Macaca fascicularis: one gene and its partners. The protein of the gene in region 1 interacts with the protein of each later gene in a biochemical or structural test. Links are inferred from orthologs where the notes say so. Each region holds a gene or a part of one and is shown in the gene's direction. Other genes may lie near its edges.

Region 1 (3,976 bases):
ACCCCTGGGAACCAGGTATGTGCGGGGGGCCTGGCTGGGCTGGGGAGGAGGGCAGACTGGGGCTGTGCCTGGACTCAGCTGTCTTCCTATATTGGAGACAGAGGAAGAGCTGGGTGGTGAAGAGCATGGACTCCGAATCTCACATCCCTGGGCCCAAAGGGAGCTGAGGAAGCTTTGTGGGTCCCTCTCCAGGCCTGTTTGCAGGTCTGTGAAGTGGCCAAGCCCCTAGGGTTGTTCCAAGTAAAATGCGCTCAAGCATAAACGATTTCACTGTGGTGGCGACTGTCCTGTTGGGGAAGGAGGGACACTCGTGCTTCACGTAGAGGCTCAGGGACGTAGACGGCTGTGGGCAGGGGAGAGGAGGCCTGCTGCCTGCCTGCGGACACTGTGGAGCAACGCCTGTGCACACTGGCCACCACCCAGAGCTTAGAGCCCAAAGAAGTCAGTGGAGGCCCATGTCGAGACTCATCCTTTCGTTACCCTGCAGAGTCACAGTCCAGGCCTGGGGTGGGCTGGGACACAAGTAGGGGTGCCGGCCCGGCCAAGGGAAAGAATGGCGGGAATGGACGCTGTGCAGATAGCCCAAACACGGAGGGTAGGCCAGGGAGTCTCAAGCCACTGGCCCCCAGGATGCAGGGAGGGACAGCTGCGTGTCACGTTTAAACCTCTTTTTGCCTCCTGGGCCCTCCTGAGACCCCTGGGCCAGGGCAGTTCTGGCTGCAGGAGGGATCCAGATCAGGCACAGCGGAGAGGAGATAGGCACGGGGGTCTGGGAGGGCTTCCCCGGGAGGGTGGGGGGGGGCTGTGGCCCTTGTTGTTACCCTTTGGCCCCTTTGGGGGGGTCCCTTTTGTCCAACCCGTCGCCCACCTCAAGACCTGCCTGGATGCTGCACATACAGTAGGTATCCAATAAATGTTCCTGGGATAGAAGGCAAAGGCGCTGTCACCAAGGCGGCTGCCCAGAGCAGGAGTGAGACAGAGGGGTCCTGGTGGCTGGGGGGTCCCCTAGTCCTGCCGCCTTCCCCCACCCCCAATCGGGATGACCGGCCACGGAGGCCGGGATGGCTGGGACCGGAGGTGGGGGCGGCCGGGCGGCGGGGGCGGGGGCGGGGAAGGGGCGGGCGCGGGGGCGGTGCCGCAGCCCGAGCTGGAGCCCGAGCCGGAGCCCGAGGCGACGGGAGCCGAACGGGAGCCGCCGAAGCCACCGCCGGGTGCCCAGCGCCGCCGCCGCCCCCGAGCTGCCCCGCGCCCCTGCCCGCGGGCGGCTGGTGGGCAGCGGGCGCCATGGCCGCTCCGGAGCCGCTGCGGCCGCGCCTGTGCCGCCTGGTGCGCGGAGAGCAGGGCTACGGCTTCCACCTGCACGGCGAGAAGGGCCGCCGCGGGCAGTTCATCCGGCGCGTGGAACCCGGTTCCCCCGCCGAGGCCGCGGCGCTGCGCGCTGGGGACCGCCTGGTCGAGGTCAACGGCGTCAACGTGGAGGGCGAGACGCACCACCAGGTGGGGGCCCGCGCTCGCCCCCGGCCCGCCGCCCCCTCCCTGAGCGCGTCCCTCTGGGGCGGGCGGGGGTCGCACGGGGGCCTGAGGGGGCTTCCGCGGAGAGGACGCGGACATTGCTGGGAGGCAGCAGCCCGGCGCCTTCCGAGTCCCCGCGCAGGAAGCTCAGCCCTGCACAGGGGTGGGGGGGCATCCTGGCAGGGAGGGGCCCGCACTGCGGCTCCTGGCCGTTGGCCTCGCTCTTTGGTCGCGTTTTGGCCTCAGTGTGCTATGAAGGAGGGTGTTGGGCAGCCTGGGGCCCCTCCAGAAAGGTGGAGACCTGGGTGCTTTTGCGTAGTTGTGTGTACACGTGTGCGTGTGAACACAGCTGGGCGTGTGTGTGCAGGTCCCTCTGGGGTCAGCCAAGTGTGCACGCGCCTGCCTGTGTGTACCCAGGAGGGGTTGCAGTAAGGGCATCAGTGTGTCTGCAGTTGTGTGTGTGCTGGAGTGTGTGTGAGTATACAGGTCTGCGTGCGTGTGTGTGTGTGTGTGTGTGTGTGTGTACAGGTCTGGACTCCTGGGCATGTGAGAGCTGAGCTCTGTGTGTGTGCACACCTGGTTAGTGTACTCATCACTGTGTGTCTGCAGGCTGGTAAGTCTGTGTCTGTACTCTAGTGTGTCCCAGCCGGTATGCCTGGGACCGGGTTGAGTTGGCCATTGGTGGCAACCACATTCCTTAGCTCCAAAGGCACTACCCCTCCTCAGAGGCTGCTTAGCCCGGCTGGGGTTACTTGCTAAAGCCTCCTGCCTCCTGGCTAAGGAGAACAGAGCCTTTTCTCTGTGGGTTCTGACCCCTGAGGTATGTCTGTCTCCCACAGGCCAGGGACTTCCACCACACCCTGGTGGGGGTCCAGTGTCCACACACCCCTTGTCCTCCAGGTCCCCTGTCCCTCACAGCACTGGCGAATCCATAACCTGTCTGCATGGCTGGTCCTGGAACCCCAAGATTAGCAGTTGGTTCAGCTGGGCCTGCAGTTGGTCTCCTGTTCACCTGGTGCCTTGTCTGTCCCTCCGTCGGCCAGCCTCATGCTTTCCACCCAGTGTCTGCTGTGTAAGGTTGTTTGCTGAAGAAGGTGGGGATCAGGGCCGGGCGCGGTGGCTCAAGCCTGTGATCCCAGCACTTTGGGAGGCCGAGACGGGCGGATCACGAGGTCAGGAGATCGAGACCATCCTGGCTAACACAATGAAACCCCGTCTCCACTAAAAATACAAAAAAATTAGCCGGGCGTGGTGGCGGCACCTGTAGTCCCAGCTACTCGGGAGGCTGAGGCAGGAGAATGGCGGGAACGGGAACCTGGGAGGCGGAGCTTGCAGTGAGCCGAGATCGCGCCACTGCACTCCAACCTGGGCGACAGAGCGAGACTCCGCCTCAAAAAAAAAAAAAAAAAAAAAAAAAAGAAGGTGGGGATCAGGCCAGTGGCCTGGACCTGAGGGATTGAGGGTAGGGCTGGCAGGGCTGGGGCCTGGCTGCTGTTTGATAGTCGTTGCCGCCCTTGCCCAGGGAACACCTGCTTATCCAAGGCCCTGGGGTGCTGGTCTCTGAGGACTGGACACACAGACCATGGTGGACTCTCCCCACTGCCCCAGGAGGGCAAGAGGTGCAGTTACTGCCCCATTTGACAGTTGAGGAAACTGATGCCAGAGATTTAGGGTGACTTGTTTGGGACACATAGTCAAGAAGCAGCTGGGCACTCGGTTCCTCTTGTCTCACTCTGGGTCATGGGGAGAGAGGAGGGCCAGGGGACAGATGGGCCTGGCTCAGTCCCTCCTATCTATTCACCACCCCTGCTGAGCCCGGTGGCTGGTGGGGAGCCCTGTCCACCCTCCCCCAGGCCGCAGGTGGGAGTAGGGCTGCCCGTCTTCCCGCCCGCTTCCCAATGGACACTGCTTTCTCTCTGCGGGTGCACGCCGGCCCCCTGCATGGTCCAGACACTTCACAGGCACCTGTACCCACACGCCGACAGCCACCATGCCATAGCTGTTCACTGCCCCTCCCCCTTGCCGGCTGTACCTGAATGTTGCTTCCCTGGCTGTGTGTGCGTACCCGAGCCAGGAGTCCAGCCATTCCCCTCCTCACAGGTCCAGTGGGAATGGGCCCATGGTCATGGCCTGGAGGTGGACATAAGGCCTGGGGTCAGGGGTTTAGACTCCCATGGCAGAGAATGACAGGAATGGGCACAGACACACCCAAACTGGGGCCCAGGGAGACACCCCTCTCCTTCAAACCTGGACGCAGACACAGACTTTGAAACAGATGGATGCACGTGCACACACTAACAGGCAGACTGAAAAGCTGAAGCTCCACTGTGCGCCGTCTTTGTTACTTCCAGACGGGACTTACCCAGCTGCCCTACCCTGCAGCCCCTTCCCAGCCCTGCCTGGAGAAGACCCTGGGCTAAGGGCAAGGCTCTGGGAGGACCCTGAAGCCCTCACAGCCTGGACC
Region 2 (4,192 bases), on another chromosome or scaffold:
ATCAATGTTGTAGATTACATAACATATACTTGCATCTTGGACAATGTAACATATCTCTCTAAAATGAGTAGTTTGTTTTCCCTTGGTTATCATGCCATCATTTAGTTGTATTGCATTTTCTTTTTGGAAACCTCAAGTCATTTAGCAAACAGGATTTCATGTTTATTCTCGAAAACTCTGGCCCAACTGTAGAGATTTATAGTCTAATTCAATGAAACCCATGCATTTATTTCCCAATTTAACCTGATGTTTCTCTTCTTACCAGAGACTGCCATGTAAATACTTTAACGATGTTAGGTGTGTTATATATAATGAGGTAATAATCAGTTTCAAATTAGCATTGTGCCTTTCACTTATTTATCAATTATATTCCCTTGTGATAACTATGAAAAGGCTCCACATCCTGAGGACACTTGTCACAGTTAGATTTATTAATGGAATGAAATAGCAAATAATGAATGAGTGAATGAATGAATGAGTAGCTGCCTCCATTTTATGGATGAGGCAGTGTCCAAAGGCACAGTGAGGTCAGGTGATGGCAGAAAGCCACACACCAATGTTGGTAGTTTTCTGCCAGGTCAGATGCCAAGTTTATTTTCTTTGTTCTCTTGCTTTAGCTATAAACTAATTTTTAAAATCATTCACATAAAATATCAATATTAAAGAGTAAAAATGGAAAAATAAGCCACATACAATTAAATGGCTTTTTTAAAAGGAGCTCAATGTGCAAAGGATAACATGAGTTAGGATGTTTTGGGAAATTTTTCACCTAATAGGAAGAATGGTTTACTCTTTTATTTATCAAACCTTCCTCATCATTAAATGGATTCAGTAATACTTTTTGGTAATAACTCGTGTGTGTGTGTGTGTGTGTGTGTGTGTGTGTGTGTGTGTGTGTGTGTGTGTAATAAAATACTTTGTATATGTTCATTGTGTTCTTTTTTTAACAAGCTTTTTAGTGAAAAAGACACAATTACCTTCACCATTGCCCATTATCTAATGACAAGTAGGGAAGGGGAGGCTAGAAGAGCTTCTACATAGTCAGAGATCTTCCATTGTCATACCTACGCTTGTACTTTATTTCATTTTCTTCCACGTTTGGACAGGTCGAGATTAAATGTGATTACATTTCCGTTGAGAGGTTTTATTCAGAAACAGGATTCAAAAGAATGTCAATGAGCATAAAATAAAACCGGTGTACAATTTATATGAAACTCGGATTTAAATGTTCCTAACAGAAAAGAAGAAAGAAAAGAAGCTATTTAAAGTAGCCCTCCCAAGGGGAGTCAACTGCTCTTCAGCGCATCCTGAGCTGGCTGTGCCTTCTCTCCATCCGCTGCTCAGATATTCATGAATCGTTGCTTCTTCCAGCCTCGCTTTCTCTCTCCCTCTGCCTTTCTGGCGCGGCTCTCCCTCCCTCCCTCTGATTTCTGCTCTTTCTTACTCCTTCTCTCAGCTGCTTAACTACAGCTCCCACTGGAACTTGCACAATCAAAAACAACTCTCCTCCCTCAAGCAGCCTCCAGGAGCGCATCACCTGGAGAAGAGCGACTCGCTCCCCGCGCCGGCCGCCGAGGAGCAGCCAGGTAGCTGGGGGCGGGGAGGGGTACCTTTCTCCCGCTCGGTAGGAGCCACAGCATCTCCCCGGAGATTGGCCGTATCCCACCGTCCGGCCCCCAGGGTGCTGCAGCGGTGATGCATATGTTTCGGAGCAATGATGGAAGGAGAAAAGCCGCTGCCGGTGGCAACTGAAAGTGGGGAGAGGTTGCTGCAGTAGCTGGTGCTGCAGAATGAGCGAGTGAAGAACTGAGCCCTGCTAGATTCTCCATCCCGCTCAGTCTTCATTAACTGTCTCCAGGAGGTAAACCGGGGAAACAGATATGCACTAACCAGGCGGGTGCCACCCTGGATCTATAACTGTGAATTCCCCACGGTGGAAAATGGTAAACAAAGACATGAATGGATTCCCAGTCAAGAAATGCTCAGCCTTCCAATTTTTTAAGAAGCGGGTAAGGACAGGTTTTGCTTATTTCTTTTGTTTTCTGTGCTTCTCTTAAATGCTTTTGAATGTTTGCCTGAAGTAAGCCTAAGGTTTTGTTGCTAAACCCTTAATGTAAGCCGTGCTTCTGACAGCAGTGGTAAAGCTGAGAACTATACCTGCCTTGATTCGAATTTGTTGGAGGAGGGGCAGGGGGCTATGAAGAGTTGCTATTGGGAGGAGGGGGTTGGGCTGAGATGCCTTAAAAAGGGTTTGAGCTGGGAATGGGGATTTTTCTCTCTCAAGCCACAACAAAGATTACAAGGCAGTTGCAAAGAGAATTGGCCTGAGTACAGTTATGGCTAGTAATTCAGTCACGGGCTAATTTAGCAGCTTCCTCTGTCTTATCTTTGAAGGGTTCAACTTTTCCACACCTTTCATCCACTGAGTCTCAAGTGATGCATTATCATCTTCATTCGTCAGAAGCAGCAGCTTCTGCTTTCCCAAATCCATTCAGCCAATAATTTGCTATGTCTCTATCTATGGTATAAATAGCAAAGGACTAGAATGACCTTTTACGAAATGATGGAATCCAGCATTTAAAATTGTCTATTTTAAGTTGCCTCAATTTTTGCTTTTGCTTGGAATAACTGCCTTTTTTTTTTTTATTTTTTATTTTTTTAAGGAGAGAGCAGTGGGAGGTCTGTATTTGAGCAATAATTCAGGGTTATGTTGCTGTATGCATTTATTTCTTAAACTCCTTATTCTTCAACTCAAAGTATGAAAAATAAAAATGTTGCATTGGTTGTAGGTGAGAAAAAAATGATTTTTTGCATGTATGTTTCAAAATAAACTCAGTTCACTGGGATGGCCACACTGGTGGTCTGTGTAAATCTGCAAATTTATACACAAGTGGGAGGTAAGAAATGAATGATTGTTAAAGGAATGATGACTGACACTCTTAAGGACAGTGTTTCCTAAGCAACGTAAGAAAAGGAACATCCTCCAGCCCCCAGTTGCCCCATCCTATATAATACCCTAGGGCAATTCCTCCAAAATGGTTCTCTCCATTCATTTGTCCTTCCCTTCATTCAGGCCCTTTCTGTGCCATTCCTGAAACACGGTTCTTCAGTTAACTCATCCGCCTAACACAGTGAATTTCAGGGTGGGCTGGACTACCTCGCTGCACCAAATGGGCAAGCTGGGAAGGCAATGCTAGAAATGCAGGCAATGTGTCAGGCCCAGCTAGAGGGCCAGCGAAGCCTCCCAAGCACCTTTGACTGAGTTCTCATCAGTAAAGCAAAATCTTTCTCAAAGTCTGTGGGCCAAAACATATGCATTAAAACCAAAATGAAACCAACCTGTCCTGGCCCTTGCTCTTGATGCGGGAGTACCATGTGAAATCTCTCACTAGTGGAGCTGCAAGCTGAATGAAAGCAAGTCAGTGCAACTTCACAGAGCTCCACAAGGCTTCTTCGTGTTTCCCTGTAGCCAAAATATTTCTTTCCAAGGGAAGGGCCCTTTATGAAAATTAATTTTCTTTCTTTCTTTCTTTCTTTTTAGAGATGGGGTCTTGCTATATTGCCCAGGGTGGTCTTGACCTCTTGGGCTTAAGTGATCCTCTTGCCTCAGCCTCCCAAATTGTTGGGATTACAGATGTCCGCCACCAGCCACAGCCCTAATTTGCAATAATAAACAAATGTTTTGCTAATTTTGAAAATGCCATAGCCCATTATCCAGTACTTAAATTCCACTACCTTTTAATTACGGCATTTATTTCATGGTATTAGGGATATTCTAAAACTCCTCAGTCAGATGTTCTTAAGCAATGTGGACTTAAGTTACATACATTTTAAATTGTCTTTTATTTTCTTTGTTATCAAAATGTACTAATAGAAATACTAATTTACCATTTGGTTTTGTTTTGCTTAAAAGTAAATTTACCAATGGATTTCAGTTGGTGACTCTGCAGACCTTGAATTTTGCAAAGAACCACCCAGAGTACTGATGTCTTATCTGAGTACATGCAGAAAGAAGTTTCTACCAAGATAACTGGCAGGCAGCTTCATCTACCTTCTAACCTGGGTCTATCAGTTGCTGGAGACGGTATCAGACATCTCTCCTGCCCCTGCACTCTCTTTACTCCTCAAGGACAGTTAACTAAGTAGAAGGTGACCTTGTATCAAGTCATTGAATGCCCCAGGGATAAATTCT
Region 3 (4,221 bases), on another chromosome or scaffold:
ACTCAGGGGAAGGAGAGGCTCTGGCGGTCGAGAGCCAGGGCAACAGGGAGGCTTGACAGAGCACAGGGGAGCTCTCCCTCCTTTGAGCACAACTGCCCACTGACTCCCGCTGGTGTGGTCACAGAATGGCCTACGTGTCCCGAGATACCCCTTGGAGCAGTGCACTTCAGAGCAGCTGGGGCAGGAGCACCGTAAGTGCTGTTTGTCATAGTTTCACTATGTCCTCTGGCCAGTCCATTCTGCTTTTTGGTCCCGTTTCCCCCACCTGGAGGCCAGGTATCACCGAGCTCCCTGCCTCCCCGTCTAACTTGCGAAACAAAAAGTACTTTGGAAACTCTAATGAGTGGTACCCTCCCCAGGAGCCTGGAAGACCCAGGGAGGGGGGCCCTAGGAACGTGCCCAATGGCTGAGGGTGGTTGGGGCCAGCTGCCTCACATGCAGGGCGCTGGGGGCTACAGCTGGAATGTGCTGAGTGGCAGCTGCCACGTGAATCATTATACCTCATCAGGCTGAGCCTAGGACTTCCAGACACAAACCAGCTCAGACTGGGCTCAGGCAGAAGGGCAGCCTCCAGCCGGGTCACAGGGCTGGGGATGAGGCTTCTGGGATCTTGCAGGGTCTCTGTCTCCCTGTCTGCCCACATCTTCATCCTGAGCAACCAGCCCTGGTTCTGAACACAGCTCGTTCTACAGACCCACAGAGAGGTCATCCTGTCCACAGCCCCCTGCCTTTGGGACCTGTGACGGCTTAAGCAGACCCTGGGCCTGGAAGGGCCTGGGAGGCAGATAGAGAGGGCTTCCTGGCTGACTCCTCACCAGGAGCCCACATTCCAGTGGGCAAGGAGTCAGATATGGGGTGACTGTGGGGCTGTAGGGGTCAGGACACGGGCAGGAGTGGAATGACGCCCCCACCCCAATCTCTTCCGTCTAGGAGCCACTGGGTACCCAGTGCTGGCAGATCAGGCCTTCTTGGGCCTCAGTTGTCCTGCCCGTGACACAGGCAAGAACCACCTCCAGCCCCCCTCTGATTTCTCTGGGTGCCTTAAACTTGAGTGAAGTCACTAGTAGGGGCTGTGTTCATACCTCATGGCGGCCTGATATTCCTGAGATGTGGAAAGGACCAGAGGGTCAGACAGGGACACAGAGACTAAGAGAGAGGCGTGGCAGGGCAAGGGGAGGACTACTGAGGCACACACACATGTCTGGCAGCCTGAGTGGGCCCGGTTACCTGGCAGGCAGACCCATGGGTGCTGAGATGAGGGCCCAACCCAGGGCATCTGAACACTGGCATGCTTGGATCTGTCTCTGTTGCCTCCTACTCCTGACTAGGGGTCTGGGACAAAGTCCTAGGCCAGTGTAGGGCTTGGTAAAAAATAATTAATTTTTCTTTTCAAGTGGAAGCTCTGACTCAGGCCTTTTCCTGTCCTCAGCAGCGCTATCCTTGCTTAGGCCTGAGCCACAGAAGCTGCTCAGGGACTATCCATGGCCTCCCCGTGGCCAACTTGAGTCTGCTCTGCAGTTGTAGGCCCGACTTGGAAGGCCCGTGGGCTCCAGGTGAGTGGGGGCCAGGGGAGCCTGGGGGCCTGAGCACAGCTGGGAGGTCCAAGTCTGTGGTTTCCCCGGGGGTGAGTATGTAAGCACCTGGGCCGGCCGTGCTGTGGGGTAGACAAGACATGCCTGCATGGAGACACATCTGTGGACCTGGTGTTATGACAGCAGGGGGCTTGTAACCATGAGGCCAGCAGGGACAGAAAGCCCATACCTCTAGCTCTTTGGGAGAGCTCCCTGGCTGGGACAGAGCCTGCTGGCCCCACGTGCCCCCATCGTCCCTCCCTTCATCTTCCTGAGAAGCAAGAAAGCCGGGCAGCCGTGCTTCTGCTGCAAGGGGAGGGGGCTGCCCAGCCAGCTGCCATGGGAGCCTCCAGCGACTCCGCCGGGTGTCAGGGGGTGTTTATGAGCAGCCGAAATGGCTGTAAAAGTGGCACCTCGCTTCACTTATGGCCTGGCCATCCCCTCCCCTACTGGCCTCTTGCCTCAAAAAGCTTCCAGAGGGGCCTGGAAGCTGAGAGAGGTCTGGGTGGAGGCACAGCTTGGGGTCAGAGTTCAGCCAGGGGCTAGAAATCAGATTGGGATAAGAACTCAGCCTGAGGCTGGGGCTCATCATGGAGATAGAGCTTAGTCTGGGATCAGGGCTAAGCTTGGATGCAGGCTGACTTTGGGGCTAGTGTTGGGATGAAGCAGTGGGGGAATATAAGGACTCAGAAATAGATAGATGTGAGCCATTAGTCCCAGAGAATCCCTGGTCCGGGCAAGGGCAAGGGGTTTTCTGAGGGAGGGAACCAGGCTGCATTGTTCAGAGAGCTGAGCCTCTGCCTTGCTTGTTGGTGTCTGATGCCCACCCTGGCCCCAGGGTCTGTGTACCTTGGCCAGAGCCCTAGTCACAGTGGGATGGCTGCAGCAGAGGCCTGTCAGCCTGGGGCTGCCACACCAGCAGGGGTGGGGCCAGAGTCCGGCCCCTACTGCAGTTCTGAGATCCAGTGACCACCCTGGCTCCTCCTCCTAGGCCCCAGCCTGGGGATTAGAGACAGGGACTCACTCCTACTCCCCACCTCCAGCCAGGCCTTTTCAAACGCCAGTGAAACTAACACTGACCTGACACTAACCAGAAACTGACTAACCAGGCCCCTGGGGCCTGCTTGTCAAAAAGGGCAAGCTGACTCTGCCAGGTGCTTGGGTGCTACCAGTTAATGTGTGACACCCCCACCCTCATGGTGGCACTTTAACCAGAGGCCTGAGGGTGAGAGAGAGGATCTGTGGCCCCACCCACAGCTGTGGAATGTCCAGCAGGGGACTATGGGGTGAGGCACATGAGTTATGGCAAGGGGAATGCCCTTAAGGGGCCCAGCACCCATCAAAGATTCCTCTCTGCAGCCCTCTCCACAGCCCACTCTGGTCCTCCCAAGTACAAACAGTAAGTTTCCAAATCTCAAGTTTTCCCTGGTGTCAGATCTGAAAAGATCTCCTCCCTCAGCCTCTAGTTTTATCTCTCAGTCCTTCCAATCCCTCCATTAATGTTCTTTTCTCATCACCAAGGGGGAAAGCAGGGTGGGAGATCAGTGGTCACAGAACCATAAAACTTAGAGACACAGAAACAGGCATAGGCCAGGTGTGGTGGTTCATGCCTGTAATCCCAGCACTTTGGGAGGCCGAGGCAGGAGGATTGCTTGAGACCAAGAGTTGGAGACCAGCCTAGGCAACAAAGTGAGACCTCGTCTCTACAAAAAAAAAAAAAAAAAATTTAATTACCCAGGTGTGGTGGCTCATGCCTGTGGTCCCAGCTACATGAGAGGCTGAGGTGGGAGGATTGCTTGAGCCCAGGAGGTCCAGGCTGCTGTGAGCCGTGACCGTGCCACTGTATTCCAGCCTAGGTGACAGGGCAAGATCCTGTCTGGAAAAAAAAAAAAATGCTGGGTGTGGTGGCTCACGCCTGTAATCTCAACACTTTGGGAGGCCGAGGCAGGTAGATCACTTGAGGCCAGGAGTTTGAAACCAGCCTGGCCAACATGTAGAAACCCCATCTCCACTAAAAATGCAAAAATTAGCCAGGCGTGGCGGTGCACAACTGTAATGCCAGCTACTCGGGAGGCTGAGGCCAAAGAATTGCTTGAACCTGGGAGGTGGAGGTTGCAGTCAGCCAAGATCACACCACTGCACTCCAGCCTGGGCAACAGCTCTGTCTCAAAAAAGAAAAGAAACAGAGGCATAATAAAGCTGAGACCATTAAAATATAACACCGAAGAACCACAAGTGTTCTTTAGGTGCCCATTCTGGCACCTGGGCCTCTGTCCCAAGGAGCCTACATACCATAGGAGGCAGCCCTGAAATCACAACCTCCCTCCCCAGTAATGGAGGATGTGGGCACACAAGGAGGGAGGGAAGTGTCCTTTACACCAGGCAGAGGAGTATGATCCTGGCAGAGGAAGCAGCAAGGACAAAAGCAGGAGAGTGGATATGTGAAGAAGGCCAGGAGTCTAGCAGACAGTTCCTGTCAGGGAGAGTCATTTTCGGAGGAAACTGTCTCAAATAGCACTGCCCTTGAACACCAGAACAAGAAATGAGGGCAGTGGGCACAGAGAAGGGAGGCAGCCATAGAAATGCATGGGGAGGGCCAGGGCTGGTAGCTCACACCTGTAATCCCAGCACTTTGGGAGGCTGAGGCAGG
Region 4 (3,987 bases), on another chromosome or scaffold:
AACAGATTGGGGATGGGGAAGTGGATGGAGTGAGTTCAGTCACATGTCTGGGAAAAGTCAATAGTGAAGACAGTCTCAATTTTTGTCATACTGGAGAGTGAAAACACAGGTAGAGGATTTCAAACAACAGGGTGGATGGTGAGTTAAAAGTGCTAAAGTTCTTTCCTGGTGTCTAACTTAATGCAATGTGGTTTATCTCTTTGCCCTTTTCTCTACTATTCAAATTTAGGATAATAAAGATTAAATGTTTCTAAATCTTACTTTACAATATTCAAGAAAAAAGGTATGCTTTTGTCCACTGAAGTGCAAAGCAGAGCTATGAAAACCTGCTGAACACATTCTTTATTTTCAACACATGTTCTTGTCTTTCCATCATGAAATGCATGTTTTATTTGTACTGTAGTTGGGTGACCACAAGTTAACAATAAGATCATTCACAAGACCCTTGCCTTAGATGTGTTGACAATGAAGTAATCAGGCCAAAATTTTTACTTTCCTTTGAATTTTTCAATTCAAACACAATGTGTGCTTGCTTTTACACAATAGGGTTCAGGGATTAGAGGGTTGGCTCTTTAAATACCGTCAGAGACACAGGCAATCCTACACCAAGTGCTCAGAAGGAAGGCGCCTACGCCTGGGAATGTCCAGTTGCCCTTGGAGAGTTGAAGATGGCGTTTCTCTGAGTCAGGTCAAAGTTAACACATTACCTTCGCTTCAAAGACTGCTTGGATTCCTTTCGGTGGATTAGTCAAGATGTTTTGCTGACTGAGACTAGGAAATCTATAGGAGGGCGGGTTAGTTTACATTGTTGCTTGTCATTGTCGCTAAAACACTCCAAAGCCCTCCTTAAAAATGCACACTGGACTAAAAACGACAGACAAGGAACAAATCCTGGGCTGGTAATTAGGCGAAGCACTATCTCCTCTTACCTCCTTGTAGATTTTTTTTCCCCCTTTAAGTACGTGTCCTCAGATTTCTTTGTCATCCTTGGAGTTCACTCACCTAAGCCTGAAACTAATAAAGCTTGCTGCTTTTCTCCAACACGCAGAGGAAGCGCTAAGGTGAATGCATCAGACCCACACTGCCGCGGAACTTTTCGGCTCTCTAAGGCTGTATTTTGATACACGAAAGGCACATTTTCCTTCCCTTTTCAAAATGCACCTTGCAAACGTAACAGGAACCCAGCTAGGATCATCGGAAAAAGGAGGAAGAGGAGGAAGGCAGGCTCGGGGGAAGCTGGTGGCAGCGAGTGCTGGGTCTGGCGGACCCTGCCGCGAAGGACGGTCCAGGAGGCTCTCCGGGGAGCCAGTTCTGCCGGTGGCTTCTTCTGTCCTCCAGCGTTGCCAACCGCACCTAAAGAGCGGCCGCGACTGTCGCCCACCTGCGGGATGGGCCTGGTGCTGGGCGGTAAGGACACGGACCTGGAAGGAGCGCGCGCGAGGGAGGGAGGCTGGGAGTCAGAATCAGAAAAGGGAGGTGCGGGGCGGCGAGGGAGCGAAGGAGGAGAGGAGGAAGGAGCGGCCGGGGTGCTGCCGGGGGTGCGTAGTGGGTGGAGAAAGCCGCTAGAGCAAATTTGGGGCCGGACCAGGCAGCACTCGGCTTTTAACCTGGGCAGTGAAGGCGGGGGAAGGAGCAAAAGGAAGGGGTGGTGTGTGGAGTAGGGGTGGGTGGGGGGAGTTGGAAGCAAATGACATCACAGCAGGTCAGAGAAAAAGGGTTGAGCGGCAGGCACCCAGAGTAATAGGTCCTTTGGCATTAGGAGCTTGAGCCCAGTCGGCCCTAGCGGGGACCCCAGCGCCCGAGAGACCATGCAGAGGTCGCCTCTGGAAAAGGCCAACGTTGTCTCCAAACTTTTTTTCAGGTGAGAGGGTGGCCAACCGAGCTTTGGAAAGACACGTGCCCACGAAAGATTAGGGCGTGTGTATGGGCTGGATTTGGGGAAAAGAAATAAGCAGTTTTTAAAAAGATGCGCTATCATTCATTGTTTTGAAAGAAAATGTGGGTATTGTGGAATAAAACAGAAAGCGTTAAGAAGAGATTGAAGAATGAATTGAAGCTGATTGAATAGACAGCCACATCTACTTGCAACTGAAAAGTTAGAATCTCAAGACCCAAGTATGCTACTATGCAGTTATTTTATTTGATTTTTCTAAGAAACTAAAAAAACTTGTTAATAATAAATACTTAAGTGTGGTTTATTGGTTTTCCCCCTTCATGCCTTGGACACTTGATTATCTTCTTGGCACATACAGGTGCCATGCCTGCATATAGTAGGTGCTCAGAAAACATTTCTTGACTGAATTCTGCCAAAAAAATTTTTGGGGTAGGTAGAAAATATGTGCTTAAAATATTTATTGTTATGAGACTGGATAAATCTAGTATTTGTCACAAGTACATTGTTCTTTAAAAATTGAAAGCAAATTTGTTGAAATATTTATTTTGAAAAAAGTTAACTTTACAAGCTATAAATTTTAAAAGCCATAGAAATAGATACTGAAGTTATATCCAACTGACATTTAATAAATTGTATTCCTAGCCTAATGTGATGAGCCATAGAAGCTTGCAAACTTTGAGCCATAGAAGCTTGCAAACTTTATCTAATGAGATTTTGAAAAACAGCGTCTAAGTTCGGAATCTTAGGCAAAGTGTTATTAGATGTAGCACTTCATATTTGAAGTGTTCTTTGGATATTGCATCTACTTTGTTCCTGTTATACCTGTGTGAATGAATGAGTAGGTACTTCTCTCTCGTGGGATATTACTTGACTCATAATTACCCAATGAATAAGCATACTGAGGTATCAAAAAAGTGAAATATGTTATAAATAGCTCATATAAGTGTGTAGGGGGGAAGAGATTTAGCTTTCACATTTCTGTTATGTTTAGTTCTCTGCATGTGCAGCTAATCCTGGAACTCCGGTGCTAAGGAGAGACTGTGGCCCTTGAAGGAGAGCTCCTCCCGGTGGATGAGAGAGAAGGACTTTACTCTTTGGAATTACCTTTTTGTATTGATGTTATAGCACCTTTTGTTACTTCTTCCATAAAATCGGCTTATCTATTGATCTGTTTTCCTACTTCTTATAAAATCAGAATGTTAATTGGCATAAATTATAGACCTTTTTAGCAGAGAACTTTGAGGAAGCTAAATGCCAATCAGTCTAAAAATGCAGTTTTCAGAAGAATTAATATTCCATGGATAGTTCTAAATACTAATGAACTTTAAAATAGCTTACTATTGATCTGTCAAAGTGGGTTTTTATATAATTTTCTTTTTACAAATCACCTGACACATTTAATATAGGTTAAAAAATGCTATCAGGCTGGTTTGCAAAGAAAATGTATTACAAAGGCTACTAAGTGTGTTAAGAGCATACTCATTTCTGTTCTCCAAAATACTTCATAAGTTGCTCCAAGAATAGGTATGTTTTTAAAAGTTAAGTTCCTACTATTTATAGGAACTGACAATCACCTAAAATACCAATGATTACAAACTTCCTTCTGGCCTTCTGGACTGCAATTCTTGTAAAAAACATATTTTTTGCATTAAGTTAGGCAGTATTGCTTAGTTTTCAAAAGTGGTAGATTTTGGAGTCAGATTATTTCGATTCAGATCCTACATCTACTGTTTAGTAGCTGTGTTGCCTGAGGCAGGTCCCTTAACATCTCTGTGTGTGACTTGACCTTTAAAATTTGGAGACTGTCATAGGGGTTAATCCCTTGAGAAAATGAATGTGAAGGGTTAGCCCAATGTTAACTGCTATTATTATGGATTACCATATTTTTACATTCATTACAGTACATGTACCTTGTTAATATAAGATGTTCAATTCATCTTTGAGTATAATTTTGTGACTCTTAATCTGGATATGCAATGAGTGGGCCTGGATGAGAATTTAATTTATGAAAAATTGTGTTTCACATGGCCTTACCAGATATACAGGAAACACATCATATGTTTCTATCATAGGTTGTTAAATGCCTTAGAATT
Region 5 (4,175 bases), on another chromosome or scaffold:
CTATCACTGGGGAGTGGGAATTTGGAAAGTTCCCCAACTAGGAACACACGTGACCTCCTTCGGAAAGTAGTTCCGACTGTGGCCCGTGTATCCTTCCACCCCCTTTTGAACCCTCCTAGGTCTCCTTGCCCCGCCCACTCGCTGGGCTGCAGCTTCCTACCGTTCCGTACTTTCCACTCAACCTGGTAACCCCGAACGTGCATGGTCTGGCCGGGGCGCGTGGAGCCTGGCCCCGGGCGATCCATCCCGCCGGGTTTTCACGGAGGCCAAGGGGGGGCGGGGCTAGGTGGTCTCTAAGAACCGAGCTTGAGTCCGACGCGGCGAACTGACTTGGAGCCCGAGGGGGAGAGATGCTCTAGTCTCCTAGGGGCACCGGAGCGGGCGCAGGAGAGGGCTGCGGGGTGCGTCCTACTCACGGGGATCCTCTTTCAGTTCATTTAGATAGGTGCCCTTTGGGCTCTGGAAATTCAACGGCGATGTGTTCACGTTCAGCACGCTCGGCTGAGAGCTTTCATTTTTAGGGCAAACAAGCCGAGTTACCGGGGAAGCGAGAGGTGGGGCGCTACAAGGGAGCCGGATGAGGTGATGCACGCTGGAAACACAATAGCAGGTTGCTCTTTGTGCTAAGACTGACATCCTGAGGACACAGGGTTGGGGAAAGGAGGAATCTCTAGGCAAAGGCTGCTACAGTCAAATCTCTGCGAACGACTGTGATCGACAGCGATGCAAAAGAGCGAATGCAGTCCACGCCGCGGAAATCCAGGGGCAGAGGCAGGGGGGAGGGTATTACCCTTGCAAGGACCGTCCCTGCATTTCCCTGTATACTGACCAGCGTGGTCACCTGGTCCTTTCCACCTGTGCACAGGTAACCTGAGACTCGAGTCAGTGACACTGCTCAACGCACCCATCTCAGCTTTCATCATCAGTCCTCCACCCCCGCCCCGCAACAGCCTACCCTGCCTCCGGCTGGGTTTCTGGGCAGAGGCCGAGGCTTAGCTCGTTATCCTCGCCTCGCGCTGCTGCAAAAGCAGCCGCGGCAAGTGCAGTTGCAGGCTGGCGGCTCGGAACCGGCCCGAGCGAGCTCTAGGCAGCCACACTGGGCATGCTCAGTAGAGCCTACGGCTTGGGGGCTTTGCGCTCGCACCCGGAGCTACCGCTTCTGTCCCCGCCTACCGCCCCCTGCCCTGCCCTCCCCTCGCCCGGCACGGTCCAGTCCGCCTCTCGTTCAGCTCCCGCCTCCCCTCGGTCTCCCGAGGAGCCCGGGCTCCCGGCGCGGCGGCGGAGGGGGCGGGCAGGCCGGCGGGCGGTGATGTGGCGGGACTCTTTATGCACTGCGGCAGGATACGCGCTCGGGCGCCGGGACGCGGCTGCGCTCAGTTCTCTCCTCTCGGAAGCTGCAGCCATGATGGAAGTTTGAGAGTTGAGCCGCTGTGAGGCGAGGCCGGGCTCAGGCGAGGGAGATGAGAGACGGCGGCGGCCGCGGCCCGGAGCCCCTCTCAGCGCCTGTGAGCAGCCGCGGGGGCAGCGCCCTCGGGGAGCCGGCCGGCCTGCGGCGGCGGCAGCGGCGGCGTTTCTCGCCTCCTCTTCGTCTTTTCTAACCGTGCAGCCGCTTCCTCGGCTTCTCTTGAAGGGGAAGGTGGAAGCCGTGGGCTCGGGCGGGAGCCGGCTGAGGCGCGGCGGCGGCGGCGGCACCTCCCGCTCCTGGAGCGGGGGGGAGAAGCGGCGGCCGCGGCGGCCGCGGCGGCTGCAGCTCCAGGGAGGGGGTCTGAGTCGCCTGTCACCATTTCCAGGGCTGGGAACGCCGGAGAGTTGGTCTCTCCCCTTCTACTGCCTCCAACACGGCGGCGGCGGCGGCGGCACATCCAGGGACCCGGGCCGGTTTTAAACCTCCCCTCCGCCGCCGCCGCACCCCCCGTGGCCCGGGCTCCGGAGGCCGCCGGAGGAGGCAGCCGTTCCGAGGATTATTCGTCTTCTCCCCATTCCGCTGCCGCTGCTGCCAGGCCTCTGGCTGCTGAGGAGAAGCAGGCCCAGTCGCTGCAACCATCCAGCAGCCGCCGCAGCAGCCATTACCCGGCTGCGGTCCAGAGCCAAGCGGCGGCAGAGCGAGGGGCATCAGCTACCGCCAAGTCCAGAGCCATTTCCATCCTGCAGAAGAAGCCCCGCCACCAGCAGCTTCTGCCATCTCTCTCCTCCTTTTTCTTCAGCCACAGGCTCCCAGACATGACAGCCATCATCAAAGAGATCGTTAGCAGAAACAAAAGGAGATATCAAGAGGATGGATTCGACTTAGACTTGACCTGTATCCATTTCTGCGGCTGCTCCTCTTTGCCTTTCTGTCACTCTCTTAGAACGTGGGAGTAGACGGATGCGAAAATGTCCCTAGTTTGGGCGACTATAACATTTAACCCTGGTCGGGTTGCTAGGTCATATATTTTGTGTTTCTTTTCTTGTATTCAACCTAGGGTGTGTTCGGCTAGACAGAACTCTTGCCTGGTTGCAAGTGTCGAGGCACCGATTGCTTGCTTAGGCTGTCTATACGGTCTCTTCCTGAGGGCTATTGTCCGTTAATACAGAATACAGTATGCTGTTAGTGGATTAGAGAGCTCGGTAATCCGGTCTCCTAAATGAACAAAAAAGTAGACGCTTTGAGGTTGAGCATATTTCGATTAAATCTTGGCTTAGGCCCTAGATCAAGGGTTTAGATCAGAATAAAATGAAAATTAGTGTTGCACGTATGCATATTGCATCAGAATCTTGCAGTGATTGTTTTAGTTTCCTGGGTTGCATTGATAGATTCTTTTAAAATATGACTGATTTGCATAACTTTAGAAGCAGAATAATTTTCAGTATATATGGTGCACATTGAGTGCAAAAAGTAGTTTTGTTAATGTTTTACACTTAAGTTACAACTTTGGACTGTATTTAGAAGTTTTGTAGTTTGAAATCAATAATGCCATAATATACCTTATAAGGCGTTCTTACTAGATCTTTGTTATATTTACCTTTTTCTCTCCCTATGGGATGATGTAGGATAGGGCTTGAAATTTGCACTTCAGTAGCGTTTAATGTTCAGTGCTCTTGTCATAAACATGGAATGGATATTGAGTAGTTTTTGATCCCAGATGACAATGTGTAGGTTCAAGGGTATTGTGTGTGGCAAGTGAAGATTGCAAAGATAAAACTTCAGTTCATGCTTGAAATTTAAGTATTGTGATGCCAGAATTGCTGCTCACCGTTTTTAGATTTCAGGTTCTCTGACATCTTTTGGTACTGTTAATTTCACTGATTTGTGTAGAATGTCAAGTGAATTTTACCAGCTAATATCCAGAAATGCTGGCAAGAGAAGTTTACTCCAGCTTTAGATTGTAGGTATGTTAGCTTTTTTCATACAGTGTATTAAATTTACTGAGTCAGCTTGTTGAATAAGACAGAAGCCCAAGAATTTTAACAGTGTATAGCTTTAGTTGTCTAAAAGTTAGGCCTTCGGGCTTCAAAAGTTAGTGGTCATCGAAAAGCATGAATCTTTGCAGTTTCAGGTACAACAGACTGGTTTTGATTAGGGATGGGGATGGGGCCCTCATTTTGCAGAATGGAAAGTATTGACAGGAATTGAGAGCTATTGGTAGGCCAGTGTATAAGGTATGTGAAAACAGAAGTTATTGGTCTGAAGTGACTGAAGCATTTAGGCTCTATCAAGGCCTAAAATTTGGTAATATGAGTTTGGTAATGCGAATTGTGGCAGTGGACAATATTTAGTTAAAATTATGTAATTGCATAAGTACTAGCAAAGTATTTTTAATAAAAATTATTTCTTAGCAAGTATCAGTTGCATTTTGTCTAAAGGTAGCGTGACACTGCAGTGTCTATATGTCCTGCTAAAAATTGTGGGGAAGATTTTTTTTTAAGACAACGTTTATATCGGGAGAGGTTTTATTCCCTTGGATTATGTTAGCTGCATATACATGTGCACAGTTAATTTTGCCCAAGTTTTTGTTTTGAAATGAATATAAAACTTACTGAAGAAGTAGCCTCCCAAAATTTAGTTTTCTGTTAAGTCAGTAATATTATTTTAAAACAGTATTTGCAAATTTTGAAGTTGGCATTAATTGAAAATGTTACTAAGGCTAAACTGGAAGATAAAAATGTTACTAAGGCTAAACCCGCTTGCCCAGAAG
Region 6 (3,500 bases), on another chromosome or scaffold:
AAATAGTTAACTCTGGTGTGGTCCCTGTCGTGTCTAGTGAGGAAAATACAAAAATTAAAATAGAGGAAGGGGCCCACTGATGTGAAAAGTGCTCTGAAGGGAACCAGCTCTGTAGCCCTGTGTGCTGACACAGAAGGCGTGTTGGAAGGCAGCTGCAGCTTCTACTTGTAGCAAGGGCCGAGGATTGTGTCCCGAACAAGACTCTGGAAAGACGTGCAGGAGGAGCACATTGGCCAGATCTCCTAAGATAAGCAACTGTGAGCATCAATTCTAGAATGGCAGTGACGATTGAATAGAATTCATACTAGATGGATGGACTAGTGAAGGCTTTGGGACTATGAGGCTGGAGAGGAAACTGCCGATCCAGTACATGGACCAAAAAAGCCTTTAGTTTTGCACTGTGTGTATTGCTCAGACATTTTGTCTGGTCTTAGTAAGCATTCCTTAGCCTTCCACCTCTCCTTTTAATAGAAGTCAAGGCCGGGTGTGGTGGCTCATGTCTGCAATCCCAGCACTTTGGGAGGTCAAGGTGGGTGGATCATTTGAGGTCAGGAGTTCAAGACCAGCCTGGCCAACATGGTGAAACCCTGTCTCTACTAAAAATACAAAAAAAAATGAGCCGGGTGTGGTGCGCCTGTAATCCCAGCTACTCGGGAGGCTGAGATACAAGAATTACTTGAATCTGGGAGGCAGAGGTTGCAGTGAGCCAAGATCACACCACTGCACTCCAGCTTGAGTGACAGAGTGAGACCCTGTCTCATAAAAAACAAACAAAAAAACAAAGGCCACATGAGAGGTCTCAGTCAAGGGATAATCAATATTGTAATAAACTTAAGTTGAAACACAGTGTCCAAAATGAACCTAAGCAGCCAAGTCCAAAAGCCTATTTTTTTTTTTTTCTTTCCCACGACAGAGTCTCGGCACATGCCACCAGGCTGGCTACTTTTTTGTATTTTTTACTAGAGACAGGGTTTCACCACGTTGGCCAGGATGGTCTCGACCTCCTGACCTCATGATCTGCCTGCCTTGGCCTCCCAAAGTGCTGGGATTACAGGCGTGAGCCACCACACCTGGCCCTAAAATTTGTATTTTTTTTTTTTTTTTGAGATGGAATCTCACTCTGTCGCCCAGGCTAGAGTGCAGTGGCGCAATCTCGGCTCACTGCAACCTCCGCCTCCTGGGTTCAAGCCATTCTCCTGCCTCAGCCTCCCTAGTAGCTGGGACTACAGGTGCCGCCACCACGCCCGGCTAATTTTTTTTGTATTTTTAGTAGAGACGGGGTTTCACCGTGTTAGCCAGGATGGTCTCGATCTCCTGACCTTGTGATCCGCCCGCCTCGGCCTCCCAAAGTGCTGGGATTACAGGCGTGAAAAATTTGTATTTTTAATGCAGACAGGGTTTCACCGTGTTGGCCAGACTAGTCTTGAACTCCTGACCTCAAGTGATCCACCTGCCTTGGCCTCCCAAAGTGCTGGGATTACAGGCATGAGCCACCCCCGGCCCAAAAGCCTGTTCTAATCACACTAGAAAAATCAATAGGCCGGGCGTGGTGGCTCAAGCCTGTAATCCTAGCACTTTGGGAGGCCGAGACGGGCGGATCACGAGGTCAAGAGATCGAGACCATCCTGGCTAACGTGGTGAAACCCCGTCTCTACTAAAAAAAAAAAAATACAAAAAACTAGCCGGGCGAGGTGGCGGGCGCCTGTAGTCCCAGCTACTCGGGAGGCTGAGGCAGGAGAATGGCGTAAACCCGGGAGGTGGAGCTTGCAGTGAGCTGAGATCCGGCCACTGCACTCCAGCCTGGGTGACAGAGCGAGAGCAAGACTCTGTCTCAAAAAAAAAAAAAAAAGAAAAATCAATAAAACATGATACTTGGTGGGCTTCAATAAATTTAGAAGGCAACCTGAAAAAGAGAAGAGTGCTCTGAAGGAGAAGCACTGTAGGAATCCAGAAGGCCCTAACTCAGCTTGGCAAATTAGGGAGTGCTTCCTAGAGGAGGTGAGGCCTAAGCTGAGCCAAAGAACCTGCTGAGAGTCAGAACTGCCCGACAACTTTTATTCTTTGAAAAAAAAAAAACATATATGAAGGGTGCCCGCCTAGACCCATGGATCGGGATTTTAGGCCCAGGGAATCTGCCTCTCTAGCTCCCCAGGTAGCCGTTCTTACCAGCCCTGACTGGAATTTGGGAATTTTTATGCCAGATGGAAAGCAGGGCTGGTGAAGGCGTGCCAGGGGGAGGTGCAGAGGCAAAGTCTGAGGATGTGACAAAACAGAGCACCTGGGGAGCAGGTTGCTCAGACTGGCTGGTTAACAGGCCTTGATGGGGCGTGGTGGGAGAAGGGACCAGAGAGAAGGGCAGGGTGCCAAGGCCCCAGCTGTGGGCACTGCTGTGAGGGGTGGGAGCAAGGAGCCAGCCAAGGAGCCAGAAACAGACTGGGAAGGAAGAAACCTGAGGATTGAGTGTCCCCAAAGCCCTGGGTGAGGGGGCCTTGGGAGCTCAGGCCTGGAGGAACAAGTGGAAAAGAGATCCCTTAGCGGGGGCTTGGGAGTGACTGTGTTGAGTGTCTAGACTACTGGTGACTTCCTTTCTCGTCTGGCCAGTACGTGACCGTGTCCGGACCAAGATGGAGAGAGACATCCTGGCTGATGTAAACCACCCATTCGTGGTGAAGCTGCACTATGGTAAAGCTGCAGGCCCTATCTGAGCTCCTCCCCTACCCATCTTTCACCCTTGCCTGTGGTCTGTACACTCTCCCACCGCCTGCCTGGTAGGCCAAGGGAGCCAGGGCTGAAGGGGCAGGTCGTAAGGCCCGGGTGACTCTACCATTGCCTTTCTCCCTCTCCCCAGCCTTCCAGACCGAGGGCAAGCTGTATCTCATTCTGGACTTCCTGCGTGGTGGGGATCTCTTCACACGGCTCTCAAAAGAGGTGAGCTGACATCTACTGCCAGAGGGCCCCGGCATGGAGCTGGGGGACAACAAGGTCTCCCATCCCAGGGCCCTGTACAGAATGTGTTCAGATGGCTTGAATCTGGAACCACCCAGGCCTGCCTAGCAGCCCCTGGCCCGGGAAATACCATTCACCCTCGGATGGAGGCCATACGCTGGCAAGGTCTCTGAGAGTTTCTCCCAAGGAAACTCTGGGGAGCTAAGGGTTCCTCTCACCTCCGCACCTGCATTCTTCCAGGGCTGCTCTGAGCAGAGGTGTGAAGATACGGGAGAAGCCCAAAGTCACCCAGAGAGCCAGACACTTCAGCAGTCATCTCCCATATGTCATCCAACAGGATTTTGAACCAATATAAAAGGATTTGAGGCTGGGCGCAGTGGCTCACACCTGTAATCCCAGCACTTTGGGAGGCCGAGGCGGGCGGATCAGGAGGTTAGGAGATCGAGACCATCCTGGCCAACATGGTGAAACCCCGTCTCTACTAAAAATACAAAAATTAGCTGGGTATGGTGGAGTGTGCCTGTAATCCCAGCTACTCAGGAAGCAGAGGCACA
Region 7 (4,037 bases), on another chromosome or scaffold:
ACAGTTTGTCACTTCCTCAAAAGGTTAAACAGTTGCCATATGACCCAGCAATTTCACTCTTCCTTATCTATCCAAGAGAAATTAGAACATAGGCCCCCACACAAAAGCTTGTATCTGAATGGTCAGAGCAGCATTATTCATAATGGCTAAAAACTGAAAACACGCGAATGACCATCACTGATGAATGGAAAAACAAAATCTGGTCTAGTCCCAGCTCCCAGGAGGGGCAATATGGGTCTTTCATGGCAGTGTGGGCCTATCCCAGGAAAGGGAGGGGTGGAGCCAGACATACCTGGGGCAGATGTGAATCCAGAAGCTCTGATACATGCTACAATGTGGATGAACCTTGAAAATGTTCAAGAGAAAGAATCCAGACATAAAAGGCCATATATTGTATAATTCCATTTATATGAAATATCCAGAAAAGGCAGATCTATAGAAACAGAAAGCAGATTAGTGGTTGCCAGGGATTGGGGAAGCCAGGATGCGGAGTGACTGCTAACTGGTAGGGGTTTCTTTTAGGGTGATGAAAATGTTCTAAAATTAGAGTGTTGTGATGGCTGCACAACTTTGTAAATATGCTAAAAATCTTGTACACTTTAAACGTGAATTTATGGTATGTTTATGTTCCATAAAACTGCTGGGGAAAAGACTGCAGGAGAATGTAGGTAGAGCTTTGGGCGTGCGTGGCTCAGTAAACGCTGGTGATTATTAATAATTAGGTCTCACGAGATAATTTAAAACCCCAGAAGCAGTGAGTGCGATGGGACTGCCAAACTTCTCGCTCAGGCTGGGCCTTTAAGCCGCTCTGCGTCCCTGAACTCACTTGGACCTCCTCAGAGTTCCTCATATATGAATGGGGGAAACAATCCCTATCACGTCCTTGGGGTCTCGCAAGGAGCGGGGCTCAGGAGGCAGATGAGGAACATGGAGGAAGCCCTGGGCCTCTGGCTCGCGCTCTGCAGTAGGTGACAGGCCCCGCTTGGGGCCAACCCGGAAAAGCCCGAGCTCGTCCAGGTGAGTTCTTGTGATTGGCAGCCCAGAGGAGGGCGGGGAGGGCTGCGGTGACGGCTGCCCCGCCCCCTCACGTCGGGCTTGCTGGCGCCCGCCGGGGAAGGTGGGCGGGGCCCGGGGTCTGCGGCGCCCATTGGGCGTGGGGGGAGAGCTCCCGGGTGGGCCTGTAGCCCCGCCCCCTCCCTTGCGGCGGCCAATAGGCGCCGCGCGTGGGCGGGGCGTCGGCGGCAGCCGGGCGGCTGAGGTGGCCGCTGGGGCTCAGGCGGCGGGCGCGGCCGGGATGGCGAAGAGCAACGGAGAGAATGGGCCGCGCGCGCCCGCGGCCGGGGAAAGCCTGTCGGGAACCCGGGAGAGCCTGGCCCAGGGCCCCGACGCCGCAACCACAGACGAACTCAGCTCTCTCGGATCCGACTCGGAGGCCAACGGCTTCGCCGAGCGCCGCATCGACAAGTTCGGCTTCATCGTGGGCTCACAGGGCGCCGAGGGCGCGTGAGTAGCGCCGGGGGTCGGAACTGAGCGCGGTACCCACGCGGGGGGCCTCGACACAGACGGAGGCGCCCTCGGGACTTGCCGACACGTCCCCCTCCCAAGCAGGGACCACCAATCCCCCTTCCCTCTCCTGCCCCACCCCCACCATCCCTGCCTTCCCAGACCCGCCCCCTTTGCAGTCCTACTTCCGACCCAGGGGGCGGACGGGCCCACACCTCCACCTGCCACCTCCACCCTCCAGACAGACTGACCCGCCCCCAGGAAGGACCGACTGTGCCCTCCTCCCAGCAGTGGAACAGAATGACAGACACTGCCCCAAAGCCACCCCTGCCTCCAAGGCCTTAGGGATGATTGTCTCTGCCACCCCGACAGGCTCCCAGATGGCTGGCGCCCCCCTCCATAGACACGTATTCTCCATCCCTCCCCCTCCCACAAACCCACAGATGCCCTTGTCTCCCCGCCCCCCACACTGCCCCCACACCGAGAGACCTCAGACCGACTTCAGGACTGACTGCCCTGCCCCCACCCCTCCCAGGACAGACTGACCCTTTCCTCGAGGCACACATACCTTTGGATGGACTGACATTGGTCGCCTCCCTCCCCTCAGCCGCATCCTAGGACAGACAGTCCCTTCTCCTCATGGAAGGGTTAGAAAATGGCCCCCTACCCCCTCATACACAGCTTCCTCCACTGGCACCGGCAACAGGTGGGCAGGTACTCCCCCTTCCCAGCACCTACAGGGCGACAGGGAGCACCACCACTAGGACAGACCGTCAGCTTCAGCAGCCACAGGAGGCAGTAGATGGGCTCTGTGTGTGTCCTGGAAACATGTGCCTCCTCCCAAAGGCAGATCTTGGGCATGGGACAGGGGCAGGCAGGGAGACAGCAGGGTCCCTGCTCATATAGCACCCCCTGATGTCCTATCCCGAGAGCACCCAGACACCCAGCTAGCAGACAGAGAAATGTGGGGCAGTGGGCTAGCACCTTGCCTCCAAGCTGGGCCGCACGGTGCCCCACAGAATCCCCTGAGCCCAGGCCTCAGAGATCATGTGCACAGGCGGGCGGTCCCCTTAGAAAAGATGGACTCCATACCCCACTCCCATCCCAGCTGTCCTGTCATGTGAGACCAGTGTTGTGCACAGAAATGACAAGGCTCCCTCCTGATGTGTGCTTTCCATCCCAATCACCAGTAGGAGCTCCTGAGGCCCTGCCATGACCCTACTCCAGAGAATATCCTTTCTCCCCATCTCTGACCAATTGAGATTGTCCAAGGTCACCCCAGACTCTCTCATGACTTATGGAAGCCCTTTGACTGTCTAAGAACCCCTGTCACTTCCGGGATTTTCCCCAGCCCTAAAGCCTCTTATTCACCAGGCCTCCTTCTTCCTTGGAGAAATCCAGGCCCCTCCCCTAAGGGAGTTCCCTCTCACCCTCTGGATCTGTCTCCTCCAATACCTCCCTACTGGCTCACAGCAGGCTAAGCTTAGTCCAGGACCCAGAGAGAGCACCCCTCATTCTGAACCCTCCCCGTGACTGATGCGTTGTCACAGTTCCCCAGGGATTCACTTGTGAGAACTTAGTGGGGACCTGGAGTGTTTTGAATTGAAGAGCAGTCACCTGGGATTAGGGCCCAGGGAGGGGTGTGGTCTTGAGATCTGGGAAAGGAGTTCCCAGTTGCATTTATGGGACCTTGGAAGGAAGAGCTCAGATTTGTGGGAGAATGCTAGGGCATGAGAATTCCTACTGCATGCTTATCAGGCAATCAACCACATCTTGGGGTGCAGAGCAATGAGATATATTAGGAAAAGGAATTACACTTGCTAGCTTTGTGACCTTGGGCAAGATCCTGAATCCCTGAGCCTGTTTACTCACTGTAAAGGGCAACAGTAACACCCACTTCTCAACATTACTCTTGGGGGTTAAATGAGATCAGATATGTGAAGGTGCTTAGCACAGCACTTGGCACAAGTAGTGGCCCAGAAAATGTTAGTTTTCTTTCTTTCCTTCTAAGGGTCTGAGAAATGAAGAGAAAAATGAGGGCATATCTCTGGTATTTGTGGGCAGAGTGAGGCCCCAGTGGAAGCACCTCCCTTTGGCTGTAGTCCCCAACCAGGCAGCCAGACATCTGTCTTTCTTACCCCACAACCACAAACCCGGGATGTGGCTCTGCAGACACCCTCTACATTGCTGCTGTCTGTAGGGCTGGGACTGAGGTCAGATCCCAGGTCCAGTTCTCTCTCCCTCCCTCACTTTGTGGAGCCTGTCGGTCAACCCAAAATCTCTGGTATCTGAAAGCTTCGATGTTCCCTACTTAGTTTATATTGTGGTTTCAAAAAAGCCAAGAGTAAGTCCCTGCCCAAGGCCATAAAGGGGAAGTTATGGGAAGTTTCAGGGTGACTGCCCTAAACCCAGTCTTGTGGTTGAAGGCTAGGAGTCCATGTTCTATGCTAGAGAAGTGAAACGTTAGCACTCATGGGTACTGTGGTGATGGTGGGGACTCTGACTCCAGATTAGAAGTCCATTTCAGTTACCCT

The links.
Region 2: the proteins of NHERF2 (region 1) and SGK1 form a complex in vitro, tested with the Homo sapiens proteins (2 studies listed by BioGRID, with this or other methods). The link is inferred for Macaca fascicularis from reciprocal best matches to the Homo sapiens genes NHERF2 and SGK1.
Region 3: the proteins of NHERF2 (region 1) and PTH1R interact in a test that uses a peptide from one of them, tested with the Homo sapiens proteins (2 studies listed by BioGRID and IntAct, with this or other methods). The link is inferred for Macaca fascicularis from reciprocal best matches to the Homo sapiens genes NHERF2 and PTH1R.
Region 4: the proteins of NHERF2 (region 1) and CFTR form a complex in vitro, tested with the Homo sapiens proteins (4 studies listed by BioGRID and IntAct, with this or other methods). The link is inferred for Macaca fascicularis from reciprocal best matches to the Homo sapiens genes NHERF2 and CFTR.
Region 5: the proteins of NHERF2 (region 1) and PTEN form a complex in vitro, tested with the Homo sapiens proteins (2 studies listed by BioGRID and IntAct, with this or other methods). The link is inferred for Macaca fascicularis from reciprocal best matches to the Homo sapiens genes NHERF2 and PTEN.
Region 6: the proteins of NHERF2 (region 1) and RPS6KA1 interact in a test that uses a peptide from one of them, tested with the Homo sapiens proteins (2 studies listed by BioGRID and IntAct). The link is inferred for Macaca fascicularis from reciprocal best matches to the Homo sapiens genes NHERF2 and RPS6KA1.
Region 7: the proteins of NHERF2 (region 1) and TBC1D10A form a complex in vitro, tested with the Homo sapiens proteins (2 studies listed by IntAct, with this or other methods). The link is inferred for Macaca fascicularis from reciprocal best matches to the Homo sapiens genes NHERF2 and TBC1D10A.

Annotation. Positions count from the first base shown.
Region 1 is NC_088394.1:2,793,671-2,797,646, forward strand, and holds the start of NHERF2 (Na(+)/H(+) exchange regulatory cofactor NHE-RF2), read left to right. Parts: upstream 1-1,176; 5' UTR 1,177-1,284; coding exon 1,285-1,497; intron 1,498-3,976.
Region 2 is NC_088378.1:38,322,395-38,326,586, reverse strand, and holds the start of SGK1 (serine/threonine-protein kinase Sgk1), read left to right. Parts: upstream 1-1,392; 5' UTR 1,393-1,940; coding exon 1,941-2,009; intron 2,010-4,192. UniProt on the Homo sapiens protein: Serine/threonine-protein kinase which is involved in the regulation of a wide variety of ion channels, membrane transporters, cellular enzymes, transcription factors, neuronal excitability, cell growth, proliferation, survival, migration and apoptosis.
Region 3 is NC_088376.1:109,772,657-109,776,877, forward strand, and holds the start of PTH1R (parathyroid hormone/parathyroid hormone-related peptide receptor), read left to right. Parts: upstream 1-1,421; 5' UTR 1,422-1,553; intron 1,554-2,878; exon of another isoform or gene 2,879-2,970; intron 2,971-4,221.
Region 4 is NC_088377.1:158,928,648-158,932,634, forward strand, and holds the start of CFTR (cystic fibrosis transmembrane conductance regulator), read left to right. Parts: upstream 1-1,187; 5' UTR 1,188-1,407; intron 1,408-1,737; exon of another isoform or gene 1,738-1,759; 5' UTR 1,760-1,808; coding exon 1,809-1,861; intron 1,862-3,987. UniProt on the Homo sapiens protein: Epithelial ion channel that plays an important role in the regulation of epithelial ion and water transport and fluid homeostasis. Mediates the transport of chloride ions across the cell membrane.
Region 5 is NC_088383.1:96,734,467-96,738,641, forward strand, and holds the start of PTEN (phosphatidylinositol 3,4,5-trisphosphate 3-phosphatase and dual-specificity protein phosphatase PTEN), read left to right. Parts: upstream 1-1,375; 5' UTR 1,376-2,220; coding exon 2,221-2,299; intron 2,300-4,175. Other genes in the region: KLLN (killin), read right to left, coding at 1-245. UniProt on the Homo sapiens protein: Dual-specificity protein phosphatase, dephosphorylating tyrosine-, serine- and threonine-phosphorylated proteins.
Region 6 is NC_088375.1:208,564,260-208,567,759, reverse strand, and holds part of RPS6KA1 (ribosomal protein S6 kinase alpha-1), read left to right. Parts: intron 1-2,601; coding exon 2,602-2,682; intron 2,683-2,848; coding exon 2,849-2,928; intron 2,929-3,500. UniProt on the Homo sapiens protein: Serine/threonine-protein kinase that acts downstream of ERK (MAPK1/ERK2 and MAPK3/ERK1) signaling and mediates mitogenic and stress-induced activation of the transcription factors CREB1, ETV1/ER81 and NR4A1/NUR77, regulates translation through RPS6 and EIF4B phosphorylation, and mediates cellular proliferation, survival, and differentiation by modulating mTOR signaling and repressing pro-apoptotic function of BAD and DAPK1.
Region 7 is NC_088384.1:21,340,185-21,344,221, forward strand, and holds the start of TBC1D10A (TBC1 domain family member 10A), read left to right. Parts: upstream 1-1,237; 5' UTR 1,238-1,294; coding exon 1,295-1,503; intron 1,504-4,037.